Anolis sagrei: one gene and its partner. The protein of the gene in region 1 purifies or fractionates together with the protein of each later gene. This does not show direct contact. Links are inferred from orthologs where the notes say so. Each region holds a gene or a part of one and is shown on either strand. Other genes may lie near its edges.

Region 1 (7,243 bases):
CTCTCGGTCCCACCGGCTTCACAAGCACGCCTGGCGGGGACGAGAGACAGGGCCTTCTCAGTGTTGGCCCCTCGGCTGTGGAACGCTCTTCCTACAGACATCAGATCGGCCCCCTCCCTGTTGGCATTTCGGAGGAAAGTGAAGACCTGGATGTTCGAACAGGCATTCAATCAAGCAGTATAATTGAGTATAATTGACTATTGGAACACGGAATAATGGATAATGAAATTGGATTCCGATTTTATTGATGAGATGTGATGGATTTGTTATATTGATGTATTGGTGTCTAATTAATTGCTATGCTACTGTTTTCAAATGTCCAATGATTTCCTATTGTGTATACTGAATTATTGTATACACAATAGTCGCCTTAGGGTTGAGAAGAGTAAATAAAGTAAATAAATAAATAATATTATAAATATAATAATAGAATTAATATATAACATTATAAATATAATATAAATATGACAGATTAAATATATTATTAGTATATTATTGTTAATATAACATAGCCTATTCACTGTGTTAGGAGGGGCCGGTGCGTGGCATGGGGTCCTGACCCCCCTCTCTCCCCCCCTCCCCCCCTTTTTCGGCAGGGACGGTCCGAACAAGATCTACGCCCTGTACGAGCAGGTCAGCTACAACTGCTTCATCGCGGCCGGCCTCTACGTCATCCTGGGGGGCTTCTCCTTCTGCCAGGTCCGGCTCAACAAGCGCAAGGAGTACATGGTCCGCTAGCTGTGCGCCGTCCCCCCTCCCCTCTATTGTGCCCCTCCCCCCCGGGCCATGTATTCATTTATTTTTGGGGGAGGGGCTCTCCTTAGTGTTTCTCCCTGACCACGACACCCCCAGACTCTACAACTAGGATCTGGCCGGGGACACGTAATTTATTTCTGTTTGTACTGAACGAATGTTTGAGTGACGGCTGGGTGCAGATTCGGGACCCCCAGAAACATTCCTTGCCCTTCTGCCGCCTCTCTGAGACCCCCACCCACCCACCCCATCCCCTCCCCCTTCCTCTGGTCAGTTTTGCCGGCCGAAGGACACCTTGGCCAAACGGCGCAGGGAGCGGCATGTTTCCTTCTTCTGGCTGAAACCGACGGAACCCGGACTGTGATGTTGTGTAAATACTGTTGCCAAGAATGGCGGACACACGCGGCCACTTCTTCCATGCGCGGCCTCTCCCTCCCGTCGGCACGCTGTGTGTTTTGGGTCCTTCTCCATGTTTACTGTCAACGTTTCCTGTGTAAACTCTGCCGTTCTGGCTGGCTGGGAAGGAAGGGCAACGCGCCCTATATTTGGGGAGCGGGCCGGATTGTTGCCCCGGCTCTTGGTCTGGTCAGTTGTCCAGTAAGAGGGGGCTTGGCGCTCCCCAAGGCGATGGACGCCCCCCGCTCCCTCCGTGTGCAATAATAATAATAAGAATAATAATAAAGGGGGTTTGACCTTCAGGCCTCGTGCGTGCTTTCCCTTCTGCTTCCTGGAAAGGGAGGGGGGGGACTTCTCCATTTGCTGACCGCTCACCCTCCTCAAGGCCGTGACTCACTTGTCTGCCTCTGCTTTTCCTAGTTGGGAGGAGGGGAGACCCAGGAAACGGCCCCCAAGTCCATGGGACACCCCCACTTCCTGGACAACCAAGCCCCTCCCTCCTCAAACTGCCACCCCGAGATCTGGGCCTGACAGGCAACCGTCACGTTCTCGGGGAATGTATTTCTGTTGCACCAAACGGGAGGGGCCACAGGAGACGGGGCTTTAGGCCTCTGATGGGACAAGGCAGGACACAGGCCAGGCATGGAAGGCTGTTGGGAATTGTGGGAGTTGAAATCCAAAACACCCGAAGGGCCGAAGTTTGTCACTGCTTGACATATACATATTTACTTACTTAGGTCACTTACTTACTTACTTAGGCGATTCCCTCATTGGCCGAGTAGGATAGTCTTCCAGGATCAGTTTTCTGGTGGATCTGTAATTTACTGTGGAGCCCTCTTCTTGACCCGCATATTTTCCCACAGTGAGGGCATTGGTTTCCAGACGGAAGGCGGTCTCGGTCAGGGTTGGCTTCACGCACCTTCCTCTTGGCACTTTTCTCTTTCACCCTCCACTCGTGCCTCTTCAAATTCTGCAGCACTGCTGGTCACAGCTGACCTCCAGCGGACCTGATGGCATCCCAGCTGAAATCTTTAAAGAGGGACGACCTGAGCTGACACAACAACTCCACCAGCTCAGAGAAAAAGTGTGGGTGACCGAGAAAATCCCAGCAGATTTCAAGGATGCCACCATCATCACCCTCTTCCAAAAGGGGGAAAGACCAGACATATACATATATACACATGCACATATACGTACATAGGTAAGGTAAAGGTAGTCCCCTGACATGAAGTCCAGTCGTGTCCGACTCTGGGACTTGGTGCTCATCTCCATTTCTAAGCCGAAGAGCCAGCGTTGTCCATAGACACCTCCAAGGTCATGTGGCCACAGGCATGACTGCATGGAGCGCCGTTACCTTCCCGCCGGAGCGGTACCTATTGATCTACTCACATTTGCATGTTTTCGAACTGCTAGGTTGGCAGAAGCTAGGGCTGACAGCGGAAGCTCACGCCGCTCCCCTGAATTGAACCTGCGACCTTTTGATCAACAAGCTCAGCAGCTCAGTTCTTTAAGCTACTGCACCACCGGGGGCTCCCAATATGTACATACAAAGGTATAAATACACCTTTACATATAGAATAGAGTCTTGCTTATCCAACCTTTGCTTCTCCGACCTTCCATCTTATCCGACACTCTGATCCCACTGCCAGGCCCTCTTGGTAGTATTCTCCGTGTCTGGTGCCAAGTTGCACGGGTCACAGTCCGGGAGGAGACTCCTTATCATCCAACATTTCTGTTCATCCAATGTTCTGCTGGCCCGTTTATGTCAGATAATTGAGACTCTACTGTATATGCAAACATGCACATACACTCTATGGAGTCCTGTTCTTGACCCGCCTGTTCTTCCACCGTGAGAACACTGGTTTCTACGCTCATCAGCTGGAACCAAACATCTGAAAAATATGTTTGCATGTATATGTATATGATGCCTGGCTCCACCACAGAGACACATGCGAGAAAGATCTGGGAGTCTTCATGGGGAACCAGCTGAGTATGAGCCAGGAGTGTCATGCAGCCGCTCAAAAAGCCAGTGGGATTCTGGGATTCAGTGTCCAGACTGTGGGAAGAGGTCCCGGTGCCTCTCTATTCCGCTTTGGTCAGGCCTCTTCCCCTGTGTCCAGGGGGATATTGACTCTAAGACGGAAGGTGTCCAGAGGAAGAGGGGGACTCAAAGGTCTGGAGACCATGACTCATCCCTCTGAGGAGCGTCTTAAAGAGCGGGGCCTGTTTAGCCACAGCAGTGAAGGCGGAGAGGAGACATGGTGGCCATGTATGAATATGTGAGGGGCTGCCTGAAGGAAGAAGGAGCCGGGTTGTTTTCTGCCGCCCTTGAAAGTAGGACTCAGCGGAGCCATGAGCCGAAATGGCAGGAAAGGAGATTCCAATGAACACGAGGAAGGACTCCCTGACCATAAGGAGAGCAGTGGAAGCTCTTTCCTTGGAGGCTTTTAAACAGTCTGGATGGCCATCTTTCAGGGATGCTTTGATGGTGCTTTCCCTGCATGGCGTGGGCTCGGACTGGGTGGCCTTTGGGGGTCCCTTCCAACTCTAGGATACTATGGTTGCATTATTATTATTATTATTACTTCATATACAATCAAATATAATTAATCACAATAATATGATTGGCATTGTTAACAATTTCATTATATTGGAAATAATTATAAATTAGGTTAGGACTTCAGTATTATTTATATTTAGTTATATATATAAACACCTGGAGGCCGAAGTTTGCTCATGCTTGCAAACTCATCATAATATAATATTTTTTTATTATTATTCTACGTATGATATTTATAATGCTCGGCTGCGGGGGATTGTGGGAGTTGTAGTCCAAGGCGCCTGTCGGGAAGGCGGGGCCAGAGCAGGGAGAAGGAAGGCAGGAAGCAAGGAAGGAAGGGAGCGCGCCCTCTGGAGGCGCTGCGGCGTCGAGGCAGGAAGGGCTCCTCGGCGGGGCGGCTGTGCCCTGCTCCCATTGGCCGGGCGGCCTGTCACGTGACTCCTCCCTCCCTCCCACCGCGGGCCGAGCTGGGCGCCATCCAGCCAGCGAGCGAGGCGGAAGTTGGCGGGCGCGCGCCGGAAGGAAGAGAGGGAGGAGGAGGGCCTTGTTGCCATGGCGGCGGGAGCGGGAGCGCGGCCATAGAGCGGTGGAGGCACCCGCGGGCGAAGGGCCGCCATGACCTCGGCCTCCACCAAGGTACAGCGGAGGGGGGCTGCTGGGAGACGTAGTCCTCCTGGGGGCGTGGCTTGTCCCTCTCCCTCATTCTCTCTCTCTCTCTCTCCCTCTCAGGTGGGGGAGATCTTCTCCGCGGCGGGGGCCGCCTTCTCCAAGCTGGGCGAGCTGGCCATGCAGCTCCACCCGGTCGCAGACTCCTCCCCCGCCGGGTGAGCAGGGCAGGGGGCGGGGCCTGGCGGGGAGTGGGGGCGGGGCTTCCCCTGGCCACGCCCCTTCTCATCCCCTGACCCCTCCCCCCCAAATAGGGCCAAGTGGACGGAGGCGGAGGTCTCCCTCCTGCGGGCCTCCGTCCAGCGCTTCGGCGACGACCTCCACCGCATCAGCGCCCTCATCAAGGAACGCACCGTGTAAGGGAGGGCGGGGCCTCGGCGAGGGCGGGGACACACCTCCTCGGGGGGCGGGGCTTCCCTGGATCAGCTCTTCTCCTGAGTGCCTCTGGGGGCGGGGCTTCCGTGGGCAGGATCAACTTTGGGGGCGGGGCTTGCGTGCTTGAGTTCTGCCACGGAGGGGCGGAGCTTCTCTTGGGGGCGGGCCTTTCTCGAAGTGGGGCGGGGCTTCCTTGGTAGAGCCCTTCCCGGTGGGCGGGACTGCCAGGTCCAGCTTGGCCTCTGTGGGGCGTGGCTTCCGTGGGCGGGGTCTATCTTGGGGGCGGGGCTTCCTTAGTTGAGTTCTTCCCTGGAGGGCGGAGCCTCCTTGGCTCAGCTCTTCTATGGGGCGGGGCTTCTCCTGAGTACCTCTGTGGGGGCGTGGCTTCCGTGGGCAGAGTCAATCCTGGGGGCGGGGCTTCCCTGGCTGAGCTCTTCTATGGGGCGGGGCTTCTCCTGAGTTCTTCCCTTGGTGGGCGGGGCTTCCGAGGCCACTGCGGAGAGTGGCTTCTCTTCTGGGCGGGGCTTCTCTCGAGTGCCTCTGGGGGCGGGGCTTCCGTGGGCAGTCAATCTTAGGGGCGGGGCTTACTTGGTTGAGTTCTTCCCTCGGTGGGCGGGGTTTCCGAGGCCTCTGCGGGGAGTGGCTTCTCTTCTGGGCGGGGCCTCCTTGCCTCTGTGGGCGTGGCTTTCGTGGTTGAGTTCTTCCTCTTAGGCGGGGCTTCATCTGCCTCGGAGGGGCGGGGCTTGCCTTGGGGGCGGGGCTTTCTCGAAGTGGGGCGGGGCTTCCTTGTTAGAGCTCTTCCCAGTGGGCGGGACTGCCAGGTCCAGCTTCGCCTCTTTGGGGCATGGCTTCAGTGGGCGGGGTCTATCTTGTATATGTCGCCTCTTTGGGGCGGGGCTTCCGTGGTTGAGTTCTTCCCAGTGGGCAGGGCTTATGGTGAGGGGGCGGGGCTTTGTCGGCCTCGGAGGGGCGGGTCTTTCTCTCAAGTGGGGCGGGGCTTCCGTGGTTGAGTTGCTCCCAAGGGGCGGGGCCTATGATGAGGGGCGGGGCTTCATTTGCCTGGGAGGGCGGAGCTCTTCCCGGTGGGCGGGGCCTGCCTTGGGGGCGGGGCTTCCAGGTCCCCTAACCCTTTCCCAACATCCCTTCCAGGCTGGGATGTTGACACTCACCCCCCCCCCCCATGAGCTGACCCCTCCCCAATGTCTCCCCCTTTTCTTTCCCCCCTTCCTCCCCCCTCCCTCCTGCTGTCAATCAATTCCGTTTGCAGGGCGCAGCTGAAGGGGGCGGCCAAGCGCAAGGCCTACGAGGAGAGCGGCCTCCCAGCGGAGTCGCCCAAGAAGGGGCCCCGCAAGCAGTCGGGGGCCGGGCAGGGCCCTCCACAGCCGCAGCACCAGGGGGCCCCCTCCACCTCCTCCTCCTCCTCGGGGCCGACCCCCGAGCCCCCCGCCAAGAAGCACAAGGCCTGCGGTGAGAAGAGAGGGAAAACAATGCAGGCCTGGGCCAACTTCGGCCCTCCCTCCGAGTGTTTTGGACTCCAACTCCCAGCATTCCCAACAGCCTCAGGCCCCTTCCTTTTCCCCCTCAGCCGCTTAAGCGGCTGAGGGGGAAAAGGAAGGGGCCTGAGGCTGTTGGGAATGCTGGGAGTTGGAGTCCAAAACACTCGGAGGGACGGAGGGAGGGCCAAAGTTGGCCCATGCCTAGTACAATAATATAATATATAAGTAGGACTCCCCCCCCCCTTTTCACCCTAGACATGACCCCCTTTTTCTCCCCCCAGACGTGACCCTGAGCGCCCTGAACGACTCGGACGCCCACAGCGACCTGGTGGACATCGAGGGCCTGGGAGACCCCCCTCCAGCCAAGAAGCTCACCTTCGACCAGGGTCAGTGTGGGGGGTCAAGGGGGGGCACATGGGAGGGGAGGGGGCGTGACCCCCTTTGGACCCCTGGGACGCCCCACGACCCCCCCTCTCTCTCTTTCTTCCAGACAGCCTGACCCTGGACTCCGCCTTCCTCTTGGCCCCCAGTGGAGGAGGGGGCGGCAGGGTGAAGGCGGACCCCCTCCCCCGCTGAAGGAGGACCCCCTCCCCCACACTCTTCTGGGAGGGGTATACAGGTCAAGTGGGGAGGGGTCTTTCCCCCCTCCCCATGGCCAGAATTTGGGTCTGGGGTCCCCCTTTGAAGTGGGAGGGGCGCCATATACATGTCAATTGGGGAGGGGTCTCTCCCCCCTCCCCATGGCCGGGATTTAGCCCTGGGGTCCCCCTTTGAAGTGGGAGGAGCGCCATATATATGTCAAGTGGGGAGGGGTCTTTCCCCCCCTTCCCATAGCCGGGATTTGGGCCTGGGGTCCCCCTTTGAAGTGGGAGGGGCGCCATATACATTTCAAGTGGGGAGGGGTCTTTCCCCCTCTTCCTATGGCTAGGATTTGGGTCTGGGGTCCCCCTTTGTAGTAGGAGGGGTGCCATATATATGTCAAGTGGGGAGGGGTCTT
Region 2 (7,722 bases), on another chromosome or scaffold:
GTTGGAAACTAGGCAAGTGAGGTTTATATACATGGGTGGTAATAATAATAATAATAATAATATATGTGGTCTGTTGGAAACTAGGCAAGTGAGGTTTATATACATGGGTAATAATAATAATAATAATATATGTGGTCTGTTGGAAACTAGGCAAGTGAGGTTTATATACATGGGTAATAATAATAATAATATATGTGGTCTGTTGGCAACTAGACAAGTGAGGTTTATATACATGGGTAATAATAATAATAATAATAATAATAATAATAATAATAATATATGTGGTCTGTTGGAAACTAGGAAAGTGAGGTTTATATACATAGGTAATAATAATAATAATAATAATAATAATAATAATAATAATACATGTGGTCTGTTGGAAACTAGGCAAGTGAAGTTTATATACATGGGTAATAATAATAATAATAATAATAATACATGTGGTCTGTTGGAAACTAGGCAAGTGAGGTTTATATACATGGGTGGTAATAATAATAATAATAATAATACATGTGGTCTGTTGGAAACTAGGCAAGTGAGGTTTATATACATGGGTGGTAATAATAATAATAATAATAATAATATATGTGGTCTGTTGGAAACTAGGCAAGTGAGGTTTATATACATGGGTAATAATAATAATAATATATGTGGTCTGTTGGAAACTAGGCAAGTGAGGTTTATATACATGGGTAATAATAATAATAATATATGTGGTCTGTTGGCAACTAGACAAGTGAGGTTTATATACATGGGTAATAATAATAATAATAATAATAATAATAATAATAATACATGTGGTCTGTTGGAAACTAGGCAAGTGAGGTTTATATACATGGGTGGTAATAATAATAATAATAATAATAATAATAATAATAATATATGTGGTCTGTTGGAAACTAGGCAAGTGAGGTTTATATACATGGGTAATAATAATAATAATATATGTGGTCTGTTGGCAACTAGACAAGTGAGGTTTATATACATGGGTAATAATAATAATAATAATAATAATAATACATGTGGTCTGTTGGAAACTAGGCAAGTGAGGTTTATATACATGGGTGGTAATAATAATAATAATAATAATAATAATAATAATAATAATAATATATGTGGTCTGTTGGAAACTAGGCAAGTGAGGTTTATATACATGGGTAATAATAATAATAATATATGTGGTCTGTTGGCAACTAGACAAGTGAGGTTTATATACATGGGTAATAATAATAATAATAATAATAATAATACATGTGGTCTGTTGGAAACTAGGCAAGTGAGGTTTATATACATGGGTAATAATAATAATAATAATAATAATAATAATAATAATAATACATGTGGTCTGTTGGAAACTAGGCAAGTGAGGTTTATATACATGGGTAATAATAATAATACATGTAGTCTATTGGAAACTAGGCAAGTAGGGTTTATATAAATGTGGAATAATGTCCAGGGTGGGAGAAAAAACTCTCGTCTGTTGGAGGCAAGTGTGAATGTTGCAATTGGCCAGCTTGATTGGCACTGATTAGCAATTCTACATAAAGGCCACCAAACGCAGCATTGCCCAAACATGAATCAAGGACGGAAGGAGAAACAATCTGGGCCAGCTAACACCTCCCAACAAAGGATTCCCCCAGGCAGGAAGCAGACAGGCTTTGAAGCTGCAAGGCCAATGTTTATTATAATTTTTATTATAATTTTTATTATTCATTGCTTTTATGGTTTTTAAATGTTTTGCAATGTTTTTGCTTTTTATTGATGTATTATTATTATTTATATTATTTTTACGCCGCCCATATCAGCCCAAAGGCAACTCAGGGTGATGAACAATCGGCACAATTCGATGCCACATATAAAATACATACATCTATGATTCTTCTTCCTCCCTGTGACTTTCCCATTTATTTTTCTCATTTCTTTGGGCGTTTCCTTTTATTTTATTAGGCTCCTACAGGTGGTAGATAGTTGCTGGGATAAGGTAATTGCAAATTATTAACTGTATTTGATATGATGCTTATTAAATTTAAAGCCTCTATTGGCTTCCATATTATTGTCACAGAAAAATGCCCTTCAGTGTGTTTCTTTGATGAAGCCTATTGCCAAGGAGGTTCAGTACCTTGGACAGTGCCTTTGAAGTTCAGACTTGGGTGTATGTAACTCAGGCATGGGCAAACTTCAGCCCTTTGTGTGTTTTGGACTTCAGTTCCCACAATTTCTAACAGACTTATCTTAGAGCACAGACAAACAATGCCTTTCTCAGAGTTGTTGTAGGTTTTTCAGGCTGTATGGCCATATTCCAGAAGCATTCTCTCCTGATGTTTCACCTGCATCTATGGCAGGCATCCTCAGAGGTTGTGAGTTCTTTCTCAAAGGCCTTTCTCAAATAACCCGGGCATTGCTGGGTCCCCAAGCTAATAAATCTATATAAATAAAAATGTAATGTTCGTTTGTGGGATTAACATAACTGAAAAACCACGATTGACACCAAATTTGGACACAATACACCTATCAGACCAACGAGTGACCATCACTCATAAAACACACACACACACAAAACCTAGCAGAATGGACTTTAACCGCCCCCCCCCATAAACCATATATACATATACACATACATTCATACACATATACACAAGCACACATAAATACACACACACACACATATATATGCAAATGCACACAAATGTAGACATATACACACCTACATATACACTTACCCATATAGACATATATACATGCACACACACATATATATGCAAGCACACACAAATATACACATATACACACATACATATACACGTACACGCATATACATATACACATACATACACACATATATACGCACATATATGCATATACCCAAGCACGCACATATACACATATAAACACAAATACACAAATATACACACACACAAACACAAACACACATATATACACATATATATACACACAAAACACATATACACATACTGGGCCGCAGCAACGCATGGCAGGGGACGGTTAGCCTATATAAATAAAAATGTAATGTTTGTTTGTGGGATTAAAAGACCTCAAAAACCACTGGATGAATTGCCACCAAATTTGGCCACAAGACACCTACTAACCCAAGGCGTGACCATCACTCAAAAAAAGTTGTAGTTGCTGAGATTTATAGTTCACCTACAATCAAAGAGCATTCTAAACTCCACCAATCAAGGAATTGAACCAAACTTGGCACACAGAACTCCCATGACCAACAGAAAATACTAGAAATACCGGAAATACTCGAAAGCTTTGGTGGGCATTGATCTTGAGTTTGGGACTTGTAGTTCACCTATACCCCGAGAGCACTGTGGCCTCAAACAATGATGGATCTGGACCAAACTTGGCACGAATATTCCATATGCCCAAAGATGAACACAGATGGAGTTTGAGGGAAATGTTGTTCGTTCGTTCAGTCGTCTCCGACTCTTCGTGACCTCATGGACCAGCCCACGCCAGAGCTCCCTGTCGGCCGTCACCATCCCCAGCTCCTTCAAGGTCAGTCCAGTCACTTCAAGGATGCCATCCATCCATCTTGCCCTTGGTCGGCCCCTCTTCCTTTTACCTTCCACTTTCCCCAACATAATTGTCTTCTCTAGGCTTTGCTGTCTCCTCATGATGTGGCCAAAGTACTTCACCTTTGCCTCTACTATCCTTCCCTCAAGTGAGCAACCGGGCTTTATTTCCTGGAGGATGGACTGGTTGGATCTTCTCGCAGTCCAAGGCACTCTCAGAACTTTCCTCCAACACCACAGCTCAAAAGCATCGATCTTCCTTCGCTCAGCCTTCCCTAAGGTCCAGCTCTCACATCCGTAGGTGACTACAGGGAATACCATGGCTTTGACTAGGCGGATCTTTGTTGCTAGTGTGATGTCTCTCCTCTTTACTATTTTATCGAGATTGGACATTGCTCTCCTCCCAAGAAGGAAGCGTCTTCTGATTTCCTGGCCACAGTCTGCATCTGCAGTAATCTTTGCCCCTAGAAATACAAAGTCTGTCACGGCCTCCACGGTTTCTCCCTCTATTTCCCAGTTGTCAATCATTCTTGTTGCCATAATCTTGGTTTCTTTTATGTTTACTTTTTGCGCTTTCTTCTTTCACCTTGATTAGAAGGCTCCTCAGCTCCTCCTCGCTTTCGGCCATCAGAGTGGTGTCATCTGCATATCTGAGGTTGTTCATGTTTCTTCCAGCAATTTTCACCCCAGCTTTGCATTCTTCAAGCCCCGCACATCCTCTCATGATGTGTTCTGCACACAAGTTAAATAGACATTGACAAGGGAAATAGACATTGACAATTGGGAGTTGAAGTGGCTGGGATTTATAGTTCACCTACAATCAAAGAGCATTCTGAACTCCACCAAGGATGGAATTGAATCAGACTTGGCACACAGGACTCTCATAACAAACAGAAAATACTGGAATCATTTGGTAGGCATTCACCTTGAGTGTTGGTGTTGTACTTCTAGGGTATTTCTAGTACTTCTAGCTGTCACCTTGGCAACCATAACCAGGGCACGCCCCCTTAAAGGAGGCGGGGCTTCAGGCAATATGTTATTTTCCCCGCCCCTTTCCATGGAACTACCAATGAGGGGACGTTCTTTCATGCAGCGCGCGCGCGCCTACTGAAGGCATATTCTCGGGGCTGCGTTCTCGCGATAACTTCCGGATAAAGGGGGCGGGGAGGGGAAACAAGCGGGGAACCAAAGCGAGGGGGGCGGGTTTCCAGGGGGAACCCTTCGCCCGCCTCCCTCCTCGCCAGAAACAAAATGGAGGCGGCTGTCAGTGTCACCGCCGAGGCCAAGGCCGAGGACGAGCTCCAGGCCTCCTCCGCCGGCCCCGAGGAGGGAGAGGAGGAGCCCTCCACCTCGGCCGCCTGCGCCCCGCCGCCAGAGCCTGGCCCGGACGAGGTAAGGCCCGGGAGAAGCGAGCGAGAGAGTGAGGAGGGAGGCCAGGGAGGCCCTGAGGGGAAGGGAGGCCTCTCTCCCCGAGCCTGTGCGCTCTAGGTATGCTCAGCCAGAGGGACGCTGCCTTGAACCCTTCTGAGCTCCAGCAGAGAGAGAGAGAGAGAGAGAGAGAGAGAGAGAGAGAGATGTTAGGAAAATTTAATATGTAGATTGGATAAATGTGGATTTGATATGTGGGAATGAATGGAAGAATGAATGAGTGGAGCTAATAATTTTGGAGATACAAATGCTAAAAGACCAAGGCCTGCAATGAATAAACCTGCTTGCTGGACTGTCATTATAAGTTGCTAATGGCAGTTGAATGGAAGAATGTGGATTTTATATGTGGGAATAAATGGAAGAATGAATGAGTGGAGCTAATAATTTTGGAGACACCAATGCTAAAAGACCAAGGCCTGCAATGACCAAACCCACTTGCTGGACTGTAATTATAAGTTGCTAATGGCAGCTGAATGGAGTTGAATGGAAGAATGTGGATTTTATATGTGGGAATAAATGGAAGAATGAATGAGTGGAGCTAATAATTTTGGAGACACCAATGCTAAAAGACCAAGGCCTGCAATGACCAAACCCACTTGCTGGACTGTAATTATAAGTTGCTAATGGCAGCTGAATGGAGTTGAATGGAAGAATGTGGATTTGATATGTGGGAATAAATGGAAGAATGAATGAGTGGAGCTAATAATTTTGGAGACACCAATGCTAAAAGACCAAGGCCTGCAATGACCAAACCCACTTGCTGGACTGTAATTATAAGTTGCTAATGGCAGCTGAATGGAGTTGAATGGAAGAATGTGGATTTGATATGTGGGAATAAATGGAAGAATGAATGAGTGGAGCTAATAATTTTGGAGACACCAATGCTAAAAGACCAAGGCCTGCAATGACCAAACCCACTTGCTGGACTGTAATTATAAGTTGCTAATGGCAGCTGAATGGAGTTGAATGGAAGAATGTGGATTTTATATGTGGGAATAAATGGAAGAATGAATGAGTGGAGCTAATAATTTTGGAGACACCAATGCTAAAAGACCAAGGCCTGCAATGACCAAACCCACTTGCTGGACTGTAATTATAAGTTGCTAATGGCAGCTGAATGGAGTTGAATGGAAGAATGTGGATTTGATATGTGGGAATGAATGGAAGAATGAATGAGTGGAGCTAATAATTTTGGAGACACCAATGCTAAAAGACCAAGGCCTGCAATGACCAAACCCACTTGCTGGACTGTAATTATAAGTTGCTAATGGCAGCTGAATGGAGTTGAATGGAAGAATGTGGATTTTATATGTGGGAATAAATGGAAGAATGAATGAGTGGAGCTAATAATTTTGGAGACACCAATGCTAAAAGACCAAGGCCTGCAATGACCAAACCCACTTGCTGGACTGTAATTATAAGTTGCTAATGGCAGCTGAATGGAGTTGAATGGAAGAATGTGGATTTGATATGTGGGAATGAATGGAAGAATGAATGAGTGGAGCCAAACATTTTGGAGACACCAATGCTAAAAGACCAAGGCATTCTCTTCACTCATCCTTCGGGAGATGCTAGCGGAGTACAAATAAAGTTAATAATAATAATAATAATAAATAAGGCCTGCAATGACTAAACCCGCTTGCTGGACTGTCATTATAAGTTGCTAATGGCAGCTGAATGGAGTTGAATGGAAGAATGAATGAGTGGAACCAAAATTTTGTAGACACCAATTCTAAAAGACCACTGGGATTGTGGCGCAGCTGGCTGAGTGTCAGCTGCATTAAGATCACTCTGACCAAAAGGTCATGAGTTCGAAGCCAGACCGGGTTGGAGTGGGTTTCCAACCAATTGTGTAGCCTGTTGTCGACCTTTGCAACCCGAAAGACAGTTGCATCTGTCAAGTAGGAAAATTCGGTACCACCTTAAAGTGTGGGGAGGCTAAATTAACTGATTTATGAGGCCATAAAGAAGACTACAGGAAAAACATTCCAGCGGGAAAGCATGCGGGGAATGCGGAAGTACTTCATCAGCGTCGCAGATGGACGATGAAAGGGACAGCTCTCCTGGCAGCCAGAAAAAGTTAAATAGCCTCTGTGTATGTCTGTATATGTTTCTATGTCAAAAATTGGCATTGAATGTTTGCCATATATGTGTACACTGTAATCCGCCCTGAGTCCCCTGCGGGGTGAGAAAAGCGGAATATTAAAGCTGTAAATAAATAAATAAATAAATAAATAAAGATCAAGGCCTGTAATGACTAAACCTGCTTGCTGGACTGTAATTATAAGTTGCTAATGGCAGCTGAATGGAGTTGAATGGAAGAATGAATGAGTGGAGCCAAAAATTTTGGAGGCACCAATTCTAAAAGACTAAGTCCTGCAATGACTAAACCTGCTTGCTGGACTGTAATTATAAGTTGCTAATGACAACTGAAAAAGTAAACAGTGATAGGAACTGTTACAATGCTAACAGTTCCGGCTCAGCATACTTGTCTGATACGGTTCTGGGAAATAGTATGATAGCTGGATCCGGAAGCTCCGAGTGTTACAGATTTGCCGCATCACTCCTTCGAGAGTGCTGTTTGCGCAAGAGAGACTTAGCTAATGTAAGCCAGGCTGGAGACAGATAATATAGAAGGAATGTAAGAGTTCTTTAATGGTGAAACCTATATCCTAACCCTGAACCGTACCGTAAGCCTAAGCCCTTACCCAAATCCTTACCCTAAACCTTACCCAAAACTTACCCTAACCCAAAC

Evidence for each region. The genes of interacting proteins can lie anywhere in the genome.
Region 2: the proteins of C6H17orf49 (region 1) and SMARCA1 purify together in Homo sapiens (affinity purification with mass spectrometry; 4 studies listed by BioGRID and IntAct, with this or other methods). This does not show direct contact. The link is inferred for Anolis sagrei from reciprocal best matches to the Homo sapiens genes BACC1 and SMARCA1.

Annotation. Positions count from the first base shown.
Region 1 is NC_090026.1:294,209-301,451, forward strand, and holds C6H17orf49 (chromatin complexes subunit BAP18), read left to right. Parts: upstream 1-4,235; 5' UTR 4,236-4,324; coding exon 4,325-4,345; intron 4,346-4,438; coding exon 4,439-4,533; intron 4,534-4,629; coding exon 4,630-4,731; intron 4,732-6,017; coding exon 6,018-6,217; intron 6,218-6,527; coding exon 6,528-6,632; intron 6,633-6,736; coding exon 6,737-6,822; downstream 6,823-7,243. Other genes in the region: RNASEK (ribonuclease kappa), read left to right, coding at 597-738. UniProt on the Homo sapiens protein: Component of chromatin complexes such as the MLL1/MLL and NURF complexes.
Region 2 is NC_090030.1:17,307,233-17,314,954, reverse strand, and holds the start of SMARCA1 (probable global transcription activator SNF2L1), read left to right. Parts: upstream 1-4,691; 5' UTR 4,692-4,790; coding exon 4,791-4,931; intron 4,932-7,722.